Lytechinus pictus: one gene and its partner. The main gene of each other region encodes a partner of the protein of the gene in region 2 in a complex. Links are inferred from orthologs where the notes say so. Each region holds a gene or a part of one and is shown on either strand. Other genes may lie near its edges.

What was found.
Region 1: the proteins of regulator of MON1-CCZ1 complex-like (region 2) and vacuolar fusion protein CCZ1 homolog are in contact, whole or in part, in a cryo-EM structure (PDB 8JBE), measured with the Drosophila melanogaster proteins. The link is inferred for Lytechinus pictus from reciprocal best matches to the Drosophila melanogaster genes Bulli and Ccz1. Residues at the interface, in NP_648047.2 of Drosophila melanogaster: Tyr395, Gly397, Phe407, Tyr464, Ser467, Met470, Leu471, Gln474, Asn477, Asn498, Arg499, Asp502, Thr503, Arg505, Arg506, Leu507, Tyr510, Met512, Asp530, Thr531, Ala532, Gln535, Ile538, Asp539, Arg543, His547, Ile550, Lys559, Asp562, Leu566; in NP_647835.1 of Drosophila melanogaster: Tyr188, Leu189, Pro190, Leu191, Asp192, Lys193, Thr194, Phe196, Leu197, Arg198, Gln200, Asn201, Glu207, Val223, Leu224, Cys225, Gly226, Lys228, Tyr342, Asn385, Gln387, Ser388, Pro427, Ala428, Asn447, Tyr448, Arg449, Asp479, Phe483, Lys485.

What each region holds. Positions count from the first base shown.
Region 1 is NC_087254.1:25,998,212-26,005,876, reverse strand, and holds the start of vacuolar fusion protein CCZ1 homolog, read right to left. Parts: upstream 3,164-7,665; 5' UTR 3,070-3,163; coding exon 2,992-3,069; intron 1-2,991. UniProt on the Drosophila melanogaster protein: Part of the Mon1-Ccz1 guanyl-nucleotide exchange factor complex specific for Rab7 that promotes the exchange of GDP to GTP, converting Rab7 from an inactive GDP-bound form into an active GTP-bound form.
Region 2 is NC_087261.1:21,300,427-21,307,544, forward strand, and holds the start of regulator of MON1-CCZ1 complex-like, read right to left. Parts: upstream 3,282-7,118; 5' UTR 3,170-3,281; coding exon 3,065-3,169; intron 1-3,064. UniProt on the Drosophila melanogaster protein: Positive regulator of the Rab7 guanyl-nucleotide exchange activity of the Mon1-Ccz1 complex, possibly by enhancing its endosomal membrane association.

The DNA of each region.
Region 1 (7,665 bases), on a different chromosome or scaffold from region 2:
AATTAAGTCAGTAGCAGGGCTTGAATTAAGAATTGAGAGGGGCAAGGCCATTTTTAAATGGGCACTTTCAGCTTGGGGCAACCGGCAAAGTGGCCTTGGATGCCCCAAAATTTCAAGGGGTATCAAGGCCATTCTAAAGGGCATGAAGGCCACTTTTATTCTAGGCAAATTTTTCTAAAAATGACAAGTAGGCCTTTCATTTTATAGTGCAACCTACTCCGGCACTTATCAAAGTGAAGATCTGTCGAGAAAAAATTCTTTCAGGGGCACCAAAATCAGTTCTGGTGAACATTTTTAGGGCTCCATTTTTCTGGGGCTTCCTTTCCACTTCTAAAATAATTCTTTGTTTTATGTTGAGTTTCCTGACAAAACTACCAAATTGTAGACTAAGAGAAATAAAAAAAAAAGTTGACATCAATTCAGACTTCTCTTCCCAAGTAACATTGTTTTTGCCAAACAGTACCCTTTAAAATTAAAGTGTCATAAAATGGAAGTGTACATGTAACATTCCACAAATATAGAAAAATTATTCATAAATCAATCTAATCTAAAATTCAAATAGATCTATAGATAAGTTGAAATCATTCCACAAAAGTCCCATCGTAAATCACTTCACGATGTGCACAGCTCAGCCTCAATCACACTGCACGCACACTCAATCATCCCCAGCAGTGACAGCACTATAGAGCAGACATCTAGGCCGCCAGAACCGGGGAAGAAATCTTCCCATTCCTGCTAAACTGAATGCTAAAGTGCCGACTTTTTTAATGAATTCCAAAGGCAGTAGGACATCTCTCTAGTATAAATCATGTGAAACTATCAATAAATGTTGAATATCACCCAGAATTATTACTTCAGGGGACAATGAAGAGCTTTCCAGGTCTTTTCAAAGCCGAATTCATCGTATTTGTTTGATACGAGTTGATGAAAATTAACCAGACAGTCCCGTTATCCGAAGGGAATCGATATTAATCAATTCAAGAAAATAGCCTCAAAATTTAATTTCTTTATCACTACAATTAATTTTAAAGTATATGAAAAATATCTTTTGATGATTCAATCTTTAATATATATGATGAGTATTTTTGTAAAATTTTGCAAATGGAATAATAATTTCCCTCAAACCTCCAAATCCCCCCTCCATTACAAATTGACTCTTCTCTTACTACATTTGGGGAATTACCCTACCCAATTCATCGTACTCCTCGCTCTGCGCTGCAAGAACAAACGTTGGCTCCACTCACCTGAAGAGTGTTGGCCCGTGCTTAAAGACAATGTATTAGCAGTAACGTTAGATCTAACATTCGGCGGAAATCTGATTTTCGGATCGTTTTTTTGTACATAAAACATCACTTTAATTATAGGAAAGAAATTACATGCAAATTTAAGATAAAATATATAAAATTCAGAGATATTGTACCTTAGACCGCAGTTACTGTTATTTCCTTTCAAATGATGATCAAAACATAATCATCCTCGATCCTTTCATTTGTCATCGTAAGTTGCCATCTTGGATAACGTCATCATCCTTACAGACGTATTTACCAGTCGCTATACATCGCGATTCGTACCATGCATGCCGCTCGCATATTCAACTAATGTACATGTACGTGCACGCTATCAAATTATTAAAGTGCGTTGGAAAACCGGCTGGCGGGCGACTACGCACGAGCAAGTACCAGGCTCATCTAGCACTCCACATACATTATCAAAATTGTCAAAAAACGTAATTTGAAAAGAAAAACCATAATGCCGTAATTTGAATGAAAAAACGTAATGATTACGGCAAAAACGTAATGGTTGGCAGCTCTGAAATAATATAGCAAGAAAATTTTCATTTTTTGTCTCTATTTTTAATTAAGAAAAAAATAATTTAAAGAATCAAATTTACTAAAGGGCCAAGTTGTATGATGAATAGGTGTAATGGAAACTGTCAGTGTAAAAAAATCAAGCATTTGTCCCAAAGAAAAAGAGAAAATAAGCCAAACATTGCCATCCTTATTTTGCCACACATGGACTGAGATATAACTGAGAACAAGGTTATATCTAACCCAGGGAGCTCCCGCCCGCACAGCGGGCGGGAGCCCAGGGGCTTACCGTGTATTTTACCATAATCACGGGACTTGGGTGATTTATGGTCTAAATATTTCTCCAAATGAATTGTGAGAACAGAAATTATGCACTTACCACGATTATATGGATCGAAGGTCTAACGAGTGGCAGTTTCCTGACATCTGGGCACAAACTGGAACCTCAAAAAAACGAAAAGTTCTCTCCTTCTACCCCAGTCTCGATCGGCCATTTTGTTACAATTCATAACAAAAATGGCCGATCGAGACGGGGGTAGAAGGAGAGAACTTTTCGTTTTTTGAGGTTCCAGTCTGTGCCCAGATGTCAGGAAACTGCCACTCGTTAGACCTTGGCTTCATCCATATATAATCGTGGTAAGTGCATGATTACTGTTTTCATAATTCATTTGGAGAAATATTTAGACCATAAATCACCCTAGTCCCGTGAGTATGGTCAAATACACGGTAAGCTCCTGGGCTCCCGCCCGCACAGCAGGCGGGAGTTCCCTGGGTTAGGTTATAATATCATATTCATAACCTTGTTCATTGACATTGAATGAGTGTCAAGAATAGCAAAGGCAAAAAGCAAAGCCTAAATCATGTAAATGCAGCCGTTCCCGATCGCGATATTTAGAAAAGCAGTGGGAATATTGACCTCGAAATGTGACTGAGAGACTTGCCATGACATTTGTAAACAATTCCTGGTGGGGAAATTTGCTCGAAGTTGGCCGGTGCGAAACTGCATTAGCGCCCCACCGACGGCTACATCTTTCGGCAATAGCCAAGACAGCACCTCCACGGAATCAAGTTAATGGGACCACAGATTCTCACCAGTACTCGATTTATAATATACGGAGCAGTGCTACTGCTGCTAGCTAGTGCTAGCGACAGAAACACGGCCTCGGAAAGAACTTATTCTCACCTCTCCTTCTCTGCATTTTATATTTGTATTGTAGATGAAGAAATTTGAAAGGTTCACTATGCTCCGCTGAGAGGTCATTATTCCAGATAAGGTACTTTTTAGGTCTCTTTCTTCGACTTCGTCTTCGCGTATCACGTCCTTAATTCCTTGAACAAAAAGTTAGGATTATGGTGTCGTTAATTTTGTGGGATTGGAATATACAGTGCGTCCCAAAAAAAACTATACACTTTTGAAATGGCTGCCAAATAAAAAATGGAGCACTTTGCTGAAAAAGACTTACATATATGGAAAGCCAATAAAGTCAACTTTCAAATGACACCAAAAAGTTGGAAAACTATTCATGCTTGAGCGAGCACTGCCCACTGAAACAAAGGGTATGAAAATTAGGGTGGGCTGGAATTAGCCTTCCAATTTGTGTCAGTTTTTAAGAGGCAAATCCTTTTAAACTTGCAAAGTTAAGGGCGTTGTGATAAATTAATGATCAACCATGACCAGTTTTGGTTGCATAAGCAAATTTCATAAATTATGTAATTGAACTTTAATGCATTAGTGAGCATAAATTATACTTTTGGGGCAGCATTTCAACTTTATCATTTGGATCTCTTTTTTGGGCAGCATTTCAACTTTATCATGTGGATCTCAGCAATGTGTTCATGGGAGTCTGGAGGATAGGGGGTGAGATAGGATTTAAGTGGGAGAAGCAGGTTGATGGAATAAGGGTCAACAGAACATTGAGTCCCCGCCCCCTCCCTCTTTCCCACCCTCCCCCTCCCTCTTTCCCATCTTCCCCTCCTGTTGTGAGACTGATGGCTATTGTCATGTATGCGTGAAGTCCAGAGCAGAATGTCGATTTAATGATAAATTCTGAATTGGGGCATCAACTTTTTCCTATCAATCATTGAATCAACAATTTATTAGTAAATCAACTCATTCAATGTGCAATGTGATCAATCAAACATTCATTTTTTTTTCAATAAATTATTTCATTAATCATCATAATCATTAAATTTCTTGGTAATGATTCCAAAAAAAAAATTGACCATCAGCCACCGGTCACTTGGCAGTTAAGTTTTGAATAGGCTACAATCCAGGAAAAGAGACAGAGAGAGAGAGGGGGGGGGCTGGGAAATGGAGGTGGAGAAGGGATGGTACATATGACTATTAATATGTAAAAAGGACAAAAAGAAGAGGAATGCCCTTTTAACCAAGTCTTAGCATATCTCGCCCTCTTGCTTGTAACAGGTACCATCATATTACTCTTCCTCTCACGAACACACTTCTGAGGTCCAAAAGATGAATATGCTACACTAAAATTACAACTCCGGCTCACTCATGCATTAAATTTCAATTTAGTAACTCGTGAAATTTGCCCAAGAAACCAAAACTTATCTTACTTATCTTATCATCAATTTAGCTTAACACCCTTAGCTTAGCAAGTTCCAAAGGACTAACCACTCCAAAAAACTGTAAGGCTAATTCCTGCCCAGTCTAGCCGAGCTTAATCTCTCAGAAGAGAAGTGGGGGTTGAGATGGAGAGAGGGGTTGCTTAAATGTTCTGTTGACCTTTATCCCATCAACGTACTTCACCTACCTAAGTCATATTACCCCCTCTTCTCCTGACTCTCATGAACACATTGTTGAGATCCACATGATAAAGACAAAATGCTGCACTAAAAATTGCAATTCATGATCACTCATGCATTAAATTTCAATTTAATAACGCATTAAATTTACACAAACAACAAACTGATCACAAATGATCTTTAATTCACCAAATAACCCTCAACTTTTAAGTACCAAACAAAAAAACCTGAAAGAAATTGGAAGGCTAATTCCGGCCCACCCTAATTTTCATACCCTTTGTTTCAGTGGGCAGTGCTCGCTCAAGCATGAATAGTTTTCCAACTTTTTGGTGTCATTTGAAAGTTGACTTTATTGGCTTTCCATATCTATAAGTCTTTTCCCCCAAAGTGCTACATTTTTTATTTGGCAGCCATTTCAAAAGTGTATAGTTTTTTTTGGGACGCACTGTATATACGGTATATAGAGAGAGACAGAGTGGTGTTATAGGGATGGTCCGGGCTGAAAATATTTATAGCTTAATAAATAGAGTAGAATTCACTGAGCAGATCAGCAGAATGCCGAAAATTTCATCAAAATACGATAACAAATAACAAAGTTATTGAATTTTAAAGTTTAGCAATATTTTGTGAAAACAGTCGTCATGAATATTCATTAGGTGGACATCCCCGTCACATCTCCACTTGTTCTTTTGTATTTTGAATGAATGAATGAATCTTTATTTCGTTTCAATTCCGATATCAAACAACAACAATAACAACAGTAAATTATTGGGAGAACAAGTAAATAGCAAAGAACAAAAGTAAATAATTACAGGATAATATACATAATACATGCACTACTTTTTATGGAACATTAGTAACACCCATGAGAACAGATGGAAATGAAACGTGGTGACCTACTAAGAAGCTTAGCCGCTTGTTGGCCATATGCCACCAGAATGTTAAAAACTTATATTAGCGTGAATCATTTTAAAACATCATAGAACAAGTAAACAAAAAATTGGAGTAAACAACCAAAGTACAGATATACATATTTACAAAAGATACACTAAAAAGTAACAAAAAGGTGAAATGCAGAATGCAAACATTCTATTAGACCTAAAGTATAAGAATCTGAAATTCGAAAAGAAAGAAAAGAGGAAAATATAAAGAAAATAGGCAAAGCTCTATTGTTGCATAGATAATTGTGGGAAGAATACAATTTCTAAAGTTAGACGAGATATAACAAGCAGGTATTCGTTTACTGATTTAAGTACTTCTTCAGTAAATCGGTCTTTAACTTGTTTCTAAAAACACTAAGGCTAACTGATTGGTTCAATGAAGAAGGAAGGGAGTTCCATAATTTTGGCCCTGTATAAACAAATGTATTTAGCCGAAAACTAGTTTTGACCAATGGCAAGTGGAGAAAAGAAACTTGTCTTGTATAGTAAAAATGGATTTGGTCATTTCTAGGGCAAGTGGAAGTTCTCTTTTATTTAATTGATACATAATGCAACCAAGGTTGAGATCAAATATGTCATGTAAATTAAGGAACTTGTTTTCATAAAACAAAATATTTGTGTGAGATCGTGAACTTACTCCACATACTAGTCTAATTACCCTTTTCTGGACTTTAAATAACCCATCCAAATGAACTTTAGCAGCGTTACCCCAGGCATTATATAAAAAATTAGGTTTATTCAAAGTTTTTCTCCAAGAACTAGAAAAATTGTATTGACAACTGATTTAGTGCATTAGATATTTATTGCTGCAACTTATTTCATGATATGGGAGACATATTATTCACACAAGTATGAAATAATGAAAACAAATATGATTTTATGTAATAACATAAGAAAACGGAAAGTGGGGATGTGACATCATCAGCCCACCTAATGAATATTCATGACGACTGTTTTCACAAAATAAACTTTAAACTTCAATAACTTTATTATTTGTTATCCGATTTTGATGAAATTTTCAGCATTTTGCTCAGTGAACCCTATTCTATGTATTAAGATATAAATATTTTCAGCCCTGACCATCCCTTTATTGAGTCAACAGATTTGGGGTACATTTTGTCTCATAATGCATGGCCCTGGGATGGGGGGTTGGGTTGGGTTGGGTTGGGTTGGGTTGGGTTGGGTTGGGTTGGGTTGGGTTGGGTTGGGTTGGGTTGGGTTGGGTTGGGTTGGGTTGGGTTGGGTTGGGTTGGGTTGGGTTGGGTTTGGTTTGGTTTGGTTTGGTTTGGTTTGGTTTGGTTTGGTTTGGTTTGGTTTGGTTTGGTTTGGTTTGGTTTGGTTTGGTTTGGTTTGGTTTGGTTTGGTTTGGTTTGGTTTGGTTTTGGTTTTGGTTTTGGTTTTGGGTGGTTGGTTGGTTGGTTGGTTGGTTGGTTGGTTGGTTGGTTGGTTGGTTGGTTGGTTGGTTGGTTGGTTGGTTGGTTGGTTGGTTGGTTGGTTGGTTGGTTGGTTGGTTGGTTGGTTGGTTGGTTGGTTGGTTGGTTGGTTGGTTGGTTGGTTGGTTGGTTGGTTGGTTGGTTGGTTGGTTGGTTGGTGGATGGATGGATGGATTTATTGATTGATTGATTTCATTTGGCAAGTCACCATAACACATACAGTAGCATTAAAAATAGAAATTACTCAATAGTATTTTGTACCAGGTACGATCGAAATACTATTGAGTAATTTCTATTTCTTTTTCTGCGATATATTAATAATTTCATAATTAAATTATTTTTCCTTTTAATAATGTATATAACAATGATGCCGTTTATTGATTTATGAGCCATAAATCAATAACCGTCTGGGATAAAACCTACACGGCATGTCAAATTGCGTTACAAATCCATATAAATTCACATCAAAATGGAACAAATTATCTGGTATACTAACATGTAACTATTAATAGTCACTCACCCTTAGTGGTGTATAAGCCAAGTCAGCTCCATCAATAAATCACACCCTAAACATGGCGTTCATTAAATTAGCCACGTCAGCATGCCCTATTTATATTTCATCTAGTATGCGATTTAAAAAAGAACAATCTCAATAATTATAGCCCTAAAATTATTTTAGATACGGCGAGCGAAACTAATGATAAAAATAATCATCAG
Region 2 (7,118 bases):
AACGCCTCAAACAGACACTCCAAAATGTATTTGAAGTGCATTATTAGAACTGAAACTTATCTCTACACCAGGAAAAATTAACTTAACAAAAAAGCAACAAGAAATAATTATAAAAAGTAGAAGGGCCTGTACAAGTACACTGATATTTCACTCTCTCAGCTCATATGCACTTGATCGACTTCCATCGAGGATTCGGGCTAAATTCCGCCCGCCACTTCCGGGGACCAACCAACGTAGTATTTCGATGAAGAGCACTCCGTCGATTCACCGGTTGTCCCTACCGTACACGCGCGCCTATGGGGATTGTGAACTGTAGGAAAAATCGTATAAAATTACACTTTTTGATATTTCTACGAAGACGAAGTTATATAGAAAATGAAGAATATTACAATCAGACCATATCCCTAGAAAATTGCTTCAAGAAATGTCATTATGAAGAGGAAATGGACAAAAATTTGTGAAGAAAAATCACGAAAAAGGAAATCGCATCATGAATATTCATATCATGGGCGGTCCCACATTTGCATGTTATAGCGAGTTTTCCATTATTTAATAAATAATGGCATTATTTAATAAATAATGGCATTATTTAATAAATAATGGCATTATTTAATAAATAATGGCATTATTTAATAAATAATGGTTATTTGTATATAAATAATGATTATTTGTATATAATGGCAAACTGTAAAAATTGTTTATAAATAATGATTAATGGGATATTGAAACAAAATTATTATTTATAAATAATGAAGTAGATATTTCATTATTTAACAAATAATCTTTATTTATAAATAATGGAAAACTCGAACATTAAATAATGATTATTTATAAATAATGAGAATAATGGTGCACTCGAAAAAATTATTTATAAATAATGAAGTAGACGTTTTCATTATTTAACAAATAATCATTATTTATAAATAATGGAAAACTCAACAAATTATTTATAAATAATGAAAAACAAATAATCATTATTTATAAATAATGGAAAACTCAACAAATTATTTGTAAATAATGAAAAACAAATAATCATTATTTATAAATAATGAAAAACAAATAATCATTATTTATAAATAATGAAAAACAAATAATCATTATTTATAAATAATGAAAAACAAATAATCATTATTTGTAAATAATGAAAAACAAATAATCATTATTTATAAATAATGAAAAACAAATAATCATTATTTATAAATAATGAAAAACAAATAATCATTATTTGTAAATAATGAAAAACAAATAATCATTATTTATAAATAATGAAAAACAAATAATCATTATTTATAAATAATGAAAAACAAATAATCATTATTTATAAATAATGGAATGTCGAACTATTATTATTTACAAATAATGAAGTATTACTTGGAATTATATATAAATAATTAGAAATGATATTTTATATAATAGTAGTTATTTACAAATAAAATGTAAATTATATATAAATAATAGTTATTATTTAATAAATAATGATTATATAACAAATAATTGTTCTATATAATATTGGTACATTCGGCGCCTCATAATTGTGACGTAATTGTTACATGTACCTTGCAGTCGCGCATCATGCATGGCACGCACATACACTCAACGCATAGAAATCTTGCGCCTTGGTTACGTTTGTGTATGCCGCACTGGCCTCGCCGCGCATTGCCTACAATGTGTTGTACTTTGTTTCATGAACTGGTTCCAGCAAGATTTCTGAAATACTGAAATTAGCGATCAGAATCGGCTCCAACTGCGCAAGCGCATTAGCAGAAATATGGCCAATATTGTCCTCTATTTTGTACAGGATTCCTATGGGCAAAGCCCGGGGAGGGCAACATGGCAAATTTATTATTTAACAAATACTAAAATTTAATAAGTGATTATGAATATAAATTATTATTATAATATTTATAATCACGTATTAAATTTTAGCCAAGGCTCCATGCATGATGAAGAAGTATATATGTCAAAATAATAAAAAATATCATCATGGAGTCCTCAAGGCTATGTAGGACCCCCTTCCATAATTTGGCATAAATGTTTTTTTTGTCCTAGGAACTGAAAACAAACAGGGGTGGTATTCTGAGATCCATTTTATCTCAGATAAAATAAAATATTTTATCTCCGTTAAAATCAGTGAGATAAAATACCCTTAAAATCTCTCCGAATTGGTATTCTGAGAACAATTTTATGTTCATTTTATCTCTGTAAGACACACCTATTTTTTAATCAATATCCAATTAGAAACGCGCTTTTATAGCTCTCTCATATCACTCAACCAATGAAAATCCATTCCGCCAGGAGGTGTGGCAAAGGAGTGAGATTGCGTCAATTTATTAACTTCAATCACGCTTGCAATATACGCTTGCGCATTTTTACAGAGATTTCTTTTTAAAAAATGACAATATATTCATCTTTTTTCGAAGTCTATATTGCATCTTTTCAAGCATCATTTCAAAGACAATATTAGTCAAGAAAAGTCTTATGAAATTCTTCCTGATTGTACAGGAATAACGTTAAGGTATTATTTTCAATAGGCCTAAATATATAATTTTTCTTCATTTTCATGTCAACATTTGTAGTTAATTCACCAAGAAATAATGATGAAATCAACGTCGCGGAGATAAAATAGCCCCTACCCTCTTTTAAGTTTATTTTATTTTTTCTTCAAAGAAGTAACATGAGCGCAAGCACATCATTCGCGTTGCAATGCCATTGCCAATGGCCAGAAGCCCAGATACGCGATGGGTATGTCTACGCACATGACGCAGGCACTCCTCTGTTGCGTATCATCTGTAGATACGCAGATACAATTTCTACGCAAGATAAAATGACCTCAGAATACGTCCCCAGACCTCTAACGTTAGTCGTTTTTTCCGTTAAATCCGATCGACGTCCGACTCAGCTCAGACCTCAGTCTCACTCTCAGACTCAGATCAAGCGCAGCTTCACACGCACACGCCCACATTAACATCCGAACCAGCGACTAATGACGGTGTAGATACCCGGAAGCTCTGGCGACAATCAGAGACAGCGTTCCGCCGGAATAGTGTTTTCGCAGCTCACTTACCTGTCGTTTTACCTCATCGTAAAATACGTTGGTCTGACGGCTGATAGGTTCAAATCTTATCGGATTTCCCGACAGTTCTACATAGTGTGATTGGTCCTCAGCCATATTTGTAGATATTCTTCAACAATTTCGGTTAGAAGAACAATTTTCAATATAATTTTACCAGGACTCAGTCAACTCCACATTCGCGATCTCGTGACCTTCAGCCTTCATCCTTTGAACCTGTTTTCACGCACAAGAAACGAGCTGGGGCCGATTGCACGAAAGGGTCTTTCCAAGGACCGTCTTTCGTGTTGCCCATCTCCTTATGATGCGCTGTATGCGGGATATTTCTGAAATGTATGATAAGCAAATATAATTTGTTAGCTAGCATTTAAATCAATTGGTATACAATTTTATTATATATTACATCATTTTATAACCATAGATTTTGTTTACTTTAACGGATGAATAAATTATGTTTGCAGGTAATTTATTTAAAATGCGTTTCACATGGCGCATCATAATAAATGGGCGACACGAAAGACGGTTCTTGCAAAGACCCTTTCGTGCACAGTACTCGACTGTGCATGTTTCGGGCGCCCAGTGATTCCTCATTTGTTCTTTCTTTCTTCATTTCTTTCATTATCCTTTTCCCATATTTTTCTTTCGGTCTTTTTCTTTCTTTCTCTTTCCTTCCTTCTTCCTGTGATCATTCATTCCTTTAATTCTTCCTTCTTTCTAGCTGAGTATCTCTCTCTCTCCCCTAGCTTCTAGCTCGATCCCTTCCCTTTTCCCCCTTTTTGTTTCTTTCTTTCTTTCTTTCTATATACTCTCTTCTTTTATCAGGTTTCTCTCGATCTCTACTTTATTCTGGACTGTGAACTCGTCAATGGAAGTCGGGCTGTGGAACCCCTAGCTATATAAGGGCGGCGGAGCGAAGTTGAAAGTGGAGGGGGGGGGGCAAGGAAAAAAGGGCACTTTGGCTTTCGAAAAACAGAAGAAAAAACTTATCTATACAGTGCTGTAATGTGCCCACATTTTTTAGGGGGCTAGATATGTCTCATCACGTAACATTTATATTTTGAAAGTTTTCTAATGAAAATCCAATTTCGTGATAGATTAGGATTACTCTTTTTTTTCATAAGTAGTAACGTATATGTTTTCCTGTTTCAAACGGGCACTCTTTGACACATAAAACGGGTCTTCTCAAGTGAAAGGGGCACAGAGCACATTTTTTAGAGGCATTTTTTTTTAGGTAAAAAGGGTCACTGATACAAGAAAGGGCACTAATAAGAAAGCAAAAGGGCACTTGCTAACGACATAAAACGGGTCCTTCTCAGGTGAAAGGGGCAAAGAACACGTTCGTGATCGAGGGGCACTTTTCTTGGGTAAAAAGGGGCAATGATTCGAATAAGGTCAGGAAGGCAAGGGGCACTTGTTCACGTACATAATTAAAACGGGTCCTTCTCAGGTGAAAGGGGCACTGAACACGGTCGTGAGGGGGCATTTTTTGGGGTGAAAATTTGGCACTGATATAGGCCCTGTAGGAGAAATATGGCACTTGTTAACAAATAAAACAGGTCCTTCTCAGGCGAAAGGGGCATATACGTTCGTAAGGGGGCATTTTTCTTGCCTAAAAAGGGCACTTTTTTCGCCGCCCCTGCCCTTAGCTAGCTGCCCACTTTAGCAGGAATTCAGCCTACGATAAAGGTAAAAATGTGTCAGAATCAATATTGCACCCCCCCCCCTCCCGGAAAAAGTAGATATGCCTATTACAAAAATATCTGTATCTATATCGTTCAGTCAGCAAAATACCAGGATTGGCACATGACGCTAACATGGCTAACTTGATTGATGAAAAGTGACTTGGAGAACATGGCGAACGTATATTATAATAGTACTTTTGCTTTTTACTTTTATTATTACCCATTTACAAGACAATGATTCAGCATGGCGAGATATAACCATGGCAACTGTAAGATAAAATTTGAAAACCTAAGCCCCTTTCACAATTATTGGTGATGCGACTGCTTACAACCGTTGCGATTGTGTGCAACATATACTGTGACCAAAGTGGTTGCAACCGATCGCAAGTCTCGATTGTGAAAGCTTTTTAACAGAAATAGATCTTAAAGTATGTTCCCCCCCAAAAAAAAAAACACCTGCGTACAGCTCACTGAATTCTAGCCCCCCCCCCCCCCCCGATGGAAAATGATGGAGAATTGGCATCAGGAGGCAAAAAAGGTGAGGGATCAGCGGGCATCAAATTTCCGTTGCGAGCGTGAACAGCGAGCGAGCCTTATAATCGATTCTAACTTATTTTGGGCAAATATACGAAGTTATAAGCCATATTTGGGTCAAGATTATGATGCTTAATAATGACATGATAAAAGTAAAAACAACATTATTGTATGAACATTTTTGGGAGCGCGAGTCCCCTCCTCCAGAAACATCACTCACCCCCCCCCCCCCCGGCTCCTGATGGGGTGTGGAGAGAATTACACAAACGACAGGGGCGATTTGCCAATGGTTTTATTTTACCGTGTTACTCCATAATAAATATATAAAGCCCTGTGAATATCCACCCACTTAAAGGACATATTAGCATTTTGTGGAATAATTTGCTCGCCTACTCATTTATTTTTTTACTCTTTCTTGAAAAGCTGCCATAGTTGTGGCTCGATCCTATCGCAGCATTTCGAGGTCGCTTGTACCATACCTTGAGTAGCTAGAACGCATCACCTAGAGGCCCGTGGTATCATAGACAAAAATCTGTTGCGTCGAAGCCATGTGAAATAGGACTACAAAATACATGACATAGGTAACAGTGTGATATTGGACGCATGCAGCCAGACAGTTTTAATACAGGATTGCGCTTAATTATGTTCATAGAAGACAGTGGCTCCTAAATCTAATACTGATTAGATATACTAGCTGGAATATATTACACCCTTTCAAGCCATCGTATTCAGCTTTTTATACGTAAGGTAGGATATAACATTATTTTGAAATGATTGTCGCTCCCCAATCTTTCAGTTGATTTAACATTTCATTTTTTTAGTTGAAGATGGTGATGATGATGGTAAAGATGATGATGATGGTGATGATGATGATGGTGATGATGATGATGACGATGATGATGATGACGATGCCTGATGATGATGATGATAATAATGATGCATGATGATGATGATAATGATGATGATGATGACGATGACGACGATGGTGATGATGATGATGATGATGATGATGACGGTGATGATGATGATGATGACGACGATGGTGATGATGACGATGATGATGATGATGATGATAATGAAGAAGAAGAAGAATATATAATGGGGATAAAGATGATGATGATGATGACGACGATGGTGATGATGATGATTATGACGATGATAATGATGTGCTGGTGGTATTTGCGGTGGTTTAATGATACACACACGTAAGCACAAAACTATTTTTTTAATTGAGAGTAAAGATATATCATTCCATGATTAATTGCAAGAGACCAGAGCAAGTAAGCAATATAATATATACCTATTTTTAATATCAACTTTCTAATTGTCCCTATGATAGCCCTGATCGTGTCCCGTGAGTTTCTTAATATTATCTTTGTCTGTATCAGGGTTTTAAACTTTTAATCCAATAATGTGAATGAATAAAACTCCTGATCAGAGGTTACTCATAATAATAAAAAACAAAGATGTTAAATCAACATTATTTTGGTGATCCGTTTTCCAAGTTAACCATTACATTTTGTAAATAGTAAAAGCAATTAAGAAAGTGGGTTCAAAATTCTATTAGACAAGTTCAATTCTATCTCTTCCCCTGCGACAAGCAACGTGGAGGGAGAAAGAGAAGCATTTAGATCATAGGTCGTACTCAAATTTCAGGATAGGGCAGCGATGTCAAAAAGCTTGGGAACAGTGTCAAAATATGAAGCACTTTTTAAGGCTCTATTGCAAGTTCATCAATAAAGAATATCCTATTTTGATAATTCGAAGATTATGTTCCAAGTGTTCTGATGAAAACTAACGCTTTTACAAAATTACAAGCGGTGCGTTTAAGC